Drosophila melanogaster: one gene and its partner. The protein of the gene in region 1 interacts with the protein of each later gene in a pairwise test. Each region holds a gene or a part of one and is shown on either strand. Other genes may lie near its edges.

Evidence for each region.
Region 2: the proteins of ssp5 (region 1) and Invadolysin interact in a two-hybrid assay, tested with the Drosophila melanogaster proteins (one large-scale study listed by BioGRID).

Annotation. Positions count from the first base shown.
Region 1 is NT_033777.3:12,031,398-12,036,139, reverse strand, and holds ssp5 (short spindle 5), read right to left. Parts: upstream 2,999-4,742; 5' UTR 2,876-2,998; coding exon 740-2,875; 3' UTR 615-739; downstream 1-614. Other genes in the region: CG31358 (uncharacterized protein), read left to right, coding at 4,439-4,502, 4,571-4,715.
Region 2 is NT_033777.3:10,142,848-10,147,719, forward strand, and holds the start of Invadolysin (invadolysin), read left to right. Parts: upstream 1-1,820; 5' UTR 1,821-2,553; coding exon 2,554-2,685; intron 2,686-4,872. Other genes in the region: TAF1B (TATA box-binding protein-associated factor RNA polymerase I subunit B), read right to left, coding at 1-87, 621-741, 797-1,224; CG42759 (uncharacterized protein), read left to right, coding at 240-327, 383-507. UniProt on the Drosophila melanogaster protein: Essential for the coordination of mitotic progression, and also plays a role in cell migration.

The DNA.
Region 1 (4,742 bases):
TGAACAATAAACCGCCCTCTTACTAATATTTATTATTGCATCTATCATGCTTAAGGTTCTTATTATATGAAATCCTATCACTTTGGCAGCAACTTGTGGCAGAACTAAGCTAGGATTCTTATTTCACAAATAGTGGAATTAATCGAAAAACCAGAATCGGCGAGTGTGAATATCGGAATATCGTTCTTCTACGCCTTCATCGTGGGCTTTGCATGTCGGACAGGAGTCGACTCAAGTCGCCTTGTTCAGGGTGTCCTTTGTGCCGCTGTGACAGCTGCTCATTTCACGCTTGGTAATTTCAATGAATTTTGCGGGGATTCTGAAGGACATGCCATGCCACGGCACGCTATCCACTTATTTGTATGCCGGTCATTAATTAAATTTTCTCGCTTATATTGAATATGTTTAGTTTGAATAGTTCTTCTTAGAAGGCAGCGGGGCTAATTTATATTTACACTATTATCTAAAATCTGTACTGTAAATAGTTTACTTCTCTCATTTTCCAATTTAATTGAAATTGATTAAATAGAATATCTTCTTACTTTAAAAGCGAATACATATTCCATTCCTATTCAATTAAATATGTCGAAATAAAAAAAAAACCTTCAATCCTTCGGGGTAAACATATACGATTATATCATATGCAATATCAATAAACATTAAAACTAAACACTACAAACAATTTAACAACAAACAATTTAGCAACAATTAGTTTGTAATCCAAATAATGATCTTCATCCTATTTCAGCATGTCTGCGTATCGAACTGGCAGATAGGCGAAGAAGGTTTTGAGCATGGATGAGCTTCTGGCCAAGTGGGGACTCAGGGCACTCCAGCAGATTCTTGTCAGGGTCAGGATCTTGTCGTTGAGCGGCATTCGGTATTCGGTTTTTAATTTCTTGCACAACGCCTCCAGACGTTTAAAGTCGTCAAAAGTGTCCTTTGCCGAGAATCCTTCGCGCTTGGCGCTGGGTGCTTCGTTTAGTTGGTTCTCAACATGCACAAATGTGGCCAGTCCCTTTTCAATCGTATCAACAATCTCTTCGTGGCAGTAGGTCTTCCCATATCGACGCTTAATCCACTCGACCATCACAAAGGATTTGTGCGAGTCGGGAAAAGCGGCGAAGACGCAGCGTGGATCCTGCCTCAGTACGGAAAATCCATCCCGCAGCAGGCGCTCCATTAAATGTTGGTTGTTGGGGTCGAACTTCTTGATTGTCTTTGTCCAATCTAGGGCATCATTTGTTTTGCAGATTTCTTCCGGCTCATTTTTGGCTGGCACTTCAATAGTCGTTGGTCTTTCGGATTGGCCAGATGACAGGCGCCGTTGATGAGCCTCCAGGGAGCCAAACCACATGTTTTGGGCGCACTCAACGATGGCCGCCACCACCTGGTCTCGGGGATTGATCCGTCCGTTGTAGTTATCCTCGCTTGAGGGGCAACTTTGCTCCTTTAAGGTGCGAATGGCCTGGGCACGAATCACATCCTTGGTATCTGGATTTTGATCCTGCGGTGCAACCGCATGGTATTTGAACACAAAGGGACTGTGCTGGTGAGGAGCTTCAAAAAAGCGTCCTGGCTTCGATGGTTTCTTGCAGGAAGACTGCTTATCGTCGCCGAATTTGGATTTTGTGATGGACACCTTCCGCGGACGTTTGATGTGTCCCAGTATAGGGGGTGGACATTTGGCCAGCTTTTGCTCCACGGGTACCGTGGGGCATGGGATGTCATCATCGGGATCCGAGACCCGCACTTTACTTAACCGACTCACGTTACCCCTGCCGGTGATCACATGGATACCCAAGGTGGGTTTGGCACTCAGACGCCCGATGTCCGCTTCCTGGGATAGGTACTTTATCCTGATATCCTGCACAGCCGTAGGCACTTTGCCCACCGAACACATCTGATCGTGATCCTCCAACAACATGACATCCGTATGGTGGCGCTCACGAAGTCGTTTCCAACGCAGCGTGACCTCCTCAATGTCCCTTTCCAACTGGGCCACGATACGTTTCTTAAGGAGGGCATCCTGCCGTGAAGTGATATCCACGAGAGCCAAGCACTGTTTGTGGGCCTTGACCACAGCTGCATCCTTCACCAGCTGCTCCTGCCGCAGTGCCTCCTTGTGGAACTCGCACATGGGCATCGCTTCGTTCTCCGCCGGTTGAGTACCATCTATCTTTGTCCAGTAGTCGGTCATGATGTCGCCGACCATCTTGAAGAGCATCCGCTTCACCGGCTGGAACCTGTAAGCGGCGAACCAGCGGTTCTCCTCGTTCACCTTGTAGTTGGGCCTCTCGCCAGCGGGCCAGAATGGAAAGGAGACCACGAGGCAGGGTCTCTTGGCAGTGAACTTCTCGCCACCCTTGGGTAGCTTTGGTTTGGGCAACGGGGTAAAGTAGGGCGAGCGGACCTTTCGGAGATCCGATTCCCGTTTGGTCGGTAAAGGTGTTGGCAACGACATGGAGCGATAATCCACTGGCGGAGCTATCGACTCTTTCTTATTCAGCCGTTCCACTCCCGGCGGCAGTATTTTGTCCAGTTCCCTCATGGTCATCTCCAGATCCAAAAAGGTGATGGCGGACATCAGGATCCGTTCACTGTACGCAGATCCTGTGCCCTTATAGCAGGCCTCCATCAGAAAGTAAAGGAATGCCAAGTCGCTGCCGCGACAAATCCCAATTAGCTTCCGCAACATCCGGGTCTTTACCATGGGCGTGACTCCCAAGCGACTGAGACAGAACTGGGTGCGGTACACAGTACCCTCCGCATTGTCATCCCGAATCGAGAAGGCCAGTGCCTCGACGGCCTGCACCTGGAAGTCGGACAGATTGGTGTACCATGAGGCCCCCACTGGGGCTGGCTTATCCAGCATGGTTTACTTCAACAATTTAGTTGGTATCGCGAAAAATAAAATAATAAATAGTCTAAAAAAAATTACTTAAAATTTTGATTGATGTATGCATATGTTGAAAGTTTAGACTGAACTAAATCATTTTAGATTTAAGTTAACACGCCCACTTTTCGTCATATATGGGCTGTAGTTTTTGAAATATTAATAAATGGAATGCTGATTCAATGCAAGGATACTGATGTCCCTCTTAAGCTGCACACCCATTTGTGCTTAAATTGCAACTGGGTGTCACTATGTTACGTAAAAACCCGGGCACTGATAAATACCTTTTCGCATGCATCGTTCAACCCATCGGTGCTCAATTCACACGCCAACACACTTATCGGCGATGATTGAGGCAATTGCATCGGTATCTGAGACTGCACTGAAAAGCCATTAATTTGCCACCTTCCATCAGGCAACAGGTGGATCTCGTATTGTTTTCCTCCGCAGTTCGCTCGTTTTTACCCACCTACCTGGCCACGTATGTACAAACGTACGTACGTTCCATGCGAGGAAGCCCCATTTCCCGTCCCGACAACTGACATCTGACAATGATGGATTAGTTTATCAGAGCGGGTCAGGACATTCATTTGCTCTTTGTTTCGCAGTTCATCGCAGAACACACAACCCACAGCCGACACACTTGCCCCCTTGGGGACTAATAACTTTATCCATCATCAGAGCGAAATATAATAGAGTAATTTTCTATGTGACGCGCCAGGATAATTGGCTGGACTTCGAGTTGGATCCGGACTCGGGCTCGGACTCAAACTCGGACTTGACCATATGTCGCTGCACTTGCAATCAGATATATTGTAGCAGGAGGTTCAGATCTGGATGGCCGGACTGGGGTGGTCACCAGAAGAATGGTCAAATCACATAAATTACTTTATGATGGCGTTTGGGCCATGAATCTGGTGAGAGAAGGAAAACTTTCTTTCAGCCTGGCACATGTGGTCACGGAAAGGCAAAAAAAAAAAACAAAAATGTATAAGAGTTGTATAAAAAAAGAGTGGCAACTTACAGACTGCCACAAGGAAGCAACAAAAGTCATTTCGAAGTTATTACCCCGCTCCACAAACCATTGTGCAGTATTAAAGCCAGGTCCAGTCAGTTTCCATTTGTTTGTCGCTTCATGAAAATGAAAAAAGGAACATACAGCAAAGAAGGCGAGAAAACAAAAGTTTTCCTCCTTTTGCCCTATGAACTTTGGCCAGCTTCGCTCTGCGATAAAGTTTCTGCCTTCTATTTTATTTTGTGGACAATTTTTATTTGTAACTCACCATTCTGTTTTTGCTGCCGAAAAAAGTTAGCCACTCGAGGAGCTTGCAGGAAAAATGTAATTTCAAAAATTTCAAATAAAATTTAAGTTCTTCAGTTGCCACTGCGAGCGCAATATGCAAATGATTAAATTCGAATTTATTTAAACCTGGAAAAGTGCAATAAGTGGATTGAGTGGATTAAATACCGGAAATAACTTACATTTGAAAAAACATTCAATGAAATCGATATATTTTAACTGTCATCCAAAAATTTCTTGTAATGAGGGAGCGATATGCAGTCGAAACAGAGAAGCAAGATAATGTGGAACCCACCCCGGAAGATGGTAAGTATTGCAGGACCTCAAGGAACCGCATATATATGATTTATTTACTTTAATTTTTTCCCTTGAAGATAACAGCAATTATATCGTTGAAAAAGTAGCGGTGTTCGTATCATGGATTTTAGTGTTGATTTTACTTCCATTTTCGCTGTGTTGTTGTCTGACTATAGCCTACGAATTCCATCGACTTGTGATATTTCGATTGGGTCGTATTAGGTAAACCTATTCGCTACCCTTAAAAGT
Region 2 (4,872 bases), 1.9 Mb from region 1:
CATTGACCATTGCAGGTGGAGACTCTGCTCCCCTTCGGACTCTGAAGCTCCTCCGTGCGAGCGGTAGCCGGAGGCGTCTAGATTGCGCTGCAAAAGGAATGGGATCAAGGTGTTACAGTCGCATCTGAGTAAACATCACTAATGAATAGGCTAACTATGTCATTTATATAGCTTGTGGAGCTATAAAAGACGAACGTGTTCAAGTCAGCAGCAATTTGGTAAAGTGTGTCGTTGCAAATATGTCCATGCGTCTGGTTCTAATTGGCGTGGCCATCCTGGCATTGGCCTACGGACAACCTGTTCCCGGAGCTCCAGAAGTCACTGAAAGTAATTAGATAAACTAATCCTAACGCTTATTGTTCATCCAACATATTCGCCACAGATTCTAATCCAGTACAGGAGATAAATACAGCAAAACCCATGTATAATGACTACCAACGGACCCTTTTCCTGCTGCTGCCCCTGCTGTTTCCTAACCAATTCTATATACCGACTACCAGCGGCTAATAAACTACCTTAGTTCTGTTCCACAATCTGAACTTGGCGCGCTCGTCATTTGGGTCACCCGTTAGAGTGCTCTTCTTGCCCTTTATACCGACTACCAGCGGCTAATAAACTACCTTAGTTCTGTTCCACAATCTGAACTTGGCGCGCTCGTCATTTGGGTCACCCGTTAGAGTGCTCTTCTTGCCCTTTTTGCCTTTCTTGAATGTCTTATGGTTGTAGATGATGCGGGCATCTCTGAAAGAATTCGGAATTTAAAAATAAGAAATTTTAGGAGAATGCAAGAACCCACATGGGCAGCGCCCGCACATTCAGTTTAGGCAGTCCCGTCTTGTTGCTCTTGCTGAAGGCCACCTCCATGCTGTCCAAGTAAGCCGCCCACACTTGCAGGGTCATCAGTTTGAGCTCCGGCTTGGCGCCCATGTTGAGCAGCTCCTGGAGGAAGCCGCGCAGCACGTAGTTGTAGAATTCCCACGAGGTGATATCGTCCTCATCCTCCTTCTCCGTATCCTTCTTCTGTCGGATCGTCCTGGCTGTATATCGGCCTGCTGCCGTGTCATCAAAGTTATCCTCGGCGGTAATGTCCACTGCACGAATCTGATCCTTCTGTGTGCCACACTCTACGCAGTAGTAGAATCCCTCGCGCTCCTGGAAGGTGGTACCCTCGCACACATCGCAGTGCATGTTCTCCAGCTGCATCGTCTCGAGAACTTCCTCCATTTTTGGGACTTTCTCTTGACGGTATCAGATTTAAATTATATTATTAATCAAACTCGCGGTTGTACACAAATCGTGCATGTGATAGTGGTGGGGAATGATCTATGTTTACAACGATATCATCCGTTCTTCGATTGATTCGATATATCGTCCGTTTCTTCTATGAAAACGTACATCACTAGATTAAGGCGGCAAATAAAAGTTGGTTCAAAGTAACATATTTTTAGTCATGGTATTTTAATAAAATTTTATTTTTATATAAAATTTAGAGAGCGGTTTTTTTTTGAAAGTATATATTAAAATCTAATAAGCGTAAAGGGTATTTTTTATTGTTTTTTATGCCAACCTGTTAGATGCACTTGTACGTTAGCCATCACTGAACTCTAATCTCTCGTAACATTTCTGTTATCTTTTTGGTGTGACCATAAGCAGTAAGAATTGAATTATCCATGTCTTGACGCTTGATTTTTAAAAAAGTCGATTCGAAATATCGATAGGCAACGTAATTTTTTAGCGCTAATAAGAGGTGTTACCAGATTCGGAAAAGCATAAGAACGCGTTTTTCGTTTTCGTTGAATGGCCACTCTGTCCTTGTGTCCATGTACTTATGCATATGTATAGAGACTCGATTCAAAACAAAATCGGCTGGCGAACGTTAACGTCGTTGTCGGACGATTCGACTCGCGTCTCTCTAAGTTTGTTGTTCGTGCCAACCACCCCCGCCGGTACCCAAACGCCCCCTTTTCGCGCGAGTGTTTTTATGGTTTTGCTGAATGAAAAGGCTCGACGAATGCGCTTATTGAGTGCCCACTGTGTCGGGTATGGCAGTGAGTCCTACAGAATGCTCTCGCTGCACGGACAGTTCATGAGAATTTGACATTTAAGTGCGAGTTTGTTCCTCCTTTTGCGGCTAACTGCAGTTTGTAGTTTGCTGTAGTTTTATGCACATTTTTTTGGCGTGGGCTGAGATTGGGACACACCCACCCGAAAACAAAAACAAAAAGTAGTCCAAAGGCCCCAATAATTGAGTGTCTCTGTGTGTGCGTATGTACGTGTGTGTGCGAGTTGTTTATGTGTGCGAGTGAGAGGAAAGGGATTCGAATCGAGCCGGTTTTCGCGAGTTAATTGACAAAGCAAACGGCGGAAAAGCAGCAAACATAAGCAAACCAAAGAGGAAAATAAACAAAGAATTTTAAGTGCAGATATGGGTGTTCGAAGTCAAGTGATAATTAAACAAAAATCACACTAATCCTGACAATGAAAAGGATCACCGCTACAATGCTGAGTACTCTATAATATCCACGGCGATATTCCACCCCGAAGTAAAACACCATGGCCAAAACGCCCCCGCTCCGCCCCCACGGTAACATGGCCAAATTCCTGGCAGCCCTCGGCATCTGCTCTTGGCTCCTCGTTTCGGCCACCGCTCACAACTGCCAACACCAGCATCCAAAGGCCCACGAGGTGAGTTGCGTTCGTTTGGCTCCAAAAATGAAGGGATTGGATTGAATTGGATTGGACTCTATGGTATTGGGTTGAATTGGCCTTCTTCTCTTACTCCGCCCTTTCTTGCAAATAAAACAAATAATATCCGGGAAAGGGCTATTTTGGGAACACGGAATCTTTAAGTGCTCACCCGCACACGTGTGCCAAATATTTACAATCCCAACTACATTAATATTAGTCTTTTTTTTTTTAGTCTTGCAACTAGCTAAGATTTTTCATGCTAGATAGCTAGATTACAAGATAGTATAAGGTATGAAGATGGTTTGGTAATTTCAAAAGAAAGAGTCCTTAAAGTTTAAATCAGCTGGAAAATCGCAACTTCGGAAATTTCAATGCTCGAGTTTCTTGTTTGTTTCTGCTTCGGCCATTTGGGCAGATTGTCCTTCGTGCTCATTAGAGAAATTTCATAATTGGTGCAAACTGTGCTCGTCGAAAATTTATAATTGATTGGGCTTTGGCATGAAAAAGGCAGGCCTAATTAGTGCCGATTTAAGAGGAGCCCTGAAATTGCCATTCTCATAATTCTGCCATAGAAACAGCGGCAAAAAACTGAAACAATAAACATCTAGCGATGGTTGGTGGCAACCACAGCTTATTGACTAATTCCGCTGGCTAATAATATGCGCATTCGAGATTCAGTCAGTCAGTCAATGCAATGTGGTTTAGTTTGTCAGTCAGGTGGTGGGGCTGCATATTAACAGGTAGCTCATAACGTGTAACCCACCATCGTGGTTACCAAACCGCCTCCATCTGCACCACATCGACATCCACATCCAGTGATCTAGTTAGGGTTTAATGTCAGACGCTGCCCGCCAACTTGTTGCTCGGGATCTGCATTCCGTCGGGCTTTTGTTTTTGTGTCTTTGGAAGTTTTTCGCCTGCACTTTACTGCTTTCCAATCAACGGCGATTTAATTGGCGCGTCGCCATAAATAAAGGTCGCCTTCAATTGCGCAAAAAGGGGAAATTTACATGATTACTGTATCGAGGCGGGTACAGTCTGTCCTCCGTGGTTGCAACTGCAGTATAATCGAACATAAAATGTTCTCGGAAATATGCATTTCCCAGGTGTTTTATAACTTTTCAAATATATGCACTTGTGGAGAACGAAATTAATACACAGCTGTATATGGTGTGGCAGCTAAAAGCAACTATAGTGTAGTTTGCACAAAAGATACATAAGCTTTTTGCAAACATTGGCAGGATGCATCCTATTTTCAAACTCACCAGGGGACACAGAACTTTTTCATTCGTTAACAATATAAAACACAATATATGTATGAAAAATCTGTGCAAACGCTAAAGTTTTAATTAGCGAGTAACTACTTTGTTTTCAAGCCAGTAAAAGTGAATTGGAATGGCAGGGAAATGAATTAATTCAGCGACTGTCTGTTGATGGCTAACGATGCTGTCGAGGTCGCCCAGCGTGTAATTAATTGAATTATCTGTAACTTAAACTGTTGTAAATGCAAAAAACCGTCGTCCAGATTATGTGTCTCTCTGCGCACGGAATGTCCTGCTGTCTGGCCACTGAAAATCATCCTGACAGGAGCAGTGTTTGTAGAGGAGGATAAAGACATAAATATATGTATGGCGAACGAACCAATGGTACATACATATATGTTCACATCCGTATGGAACATCCATTCAATTAAATAGCGGTCCAGCTGAAACCGAAGTACTCGATTCTAATTAGTGTTATATAAATTGAAGAACGCGGCTGTCAGCAATTGCGAGAACAACTGCAGCAATGTGTAAAATTCGCCAAATTAAACCATTTGTCACGTTGCCAGCGTGCGTGCGCGCCTGTCAGCGATGTCGCGGACTGTATTGACCTTCTAATACGATAAACGCACACTTAACTTCAGAAAAACTGCCATTAAATTAAATTATCTTTTGGCTTAGCAAACTGAGCTGCAGGGAATCTCCATTCAGGATGAAAAGCTTTTTGATTCACGAGCTAAACTGAAAAGAACTTAATCAAAGCGTGATGCTAACATTTTCCAGTACAATCAAAACAGGTGCTGATTTGATATGACGAAGTTACACATGTTTCTATATTAATGAAACTCCCTAGGTAACTATAAACACGAATGCAAATGCATTCATATCGACAATGTGTGTTGCAAGCATCTGCATGTACATA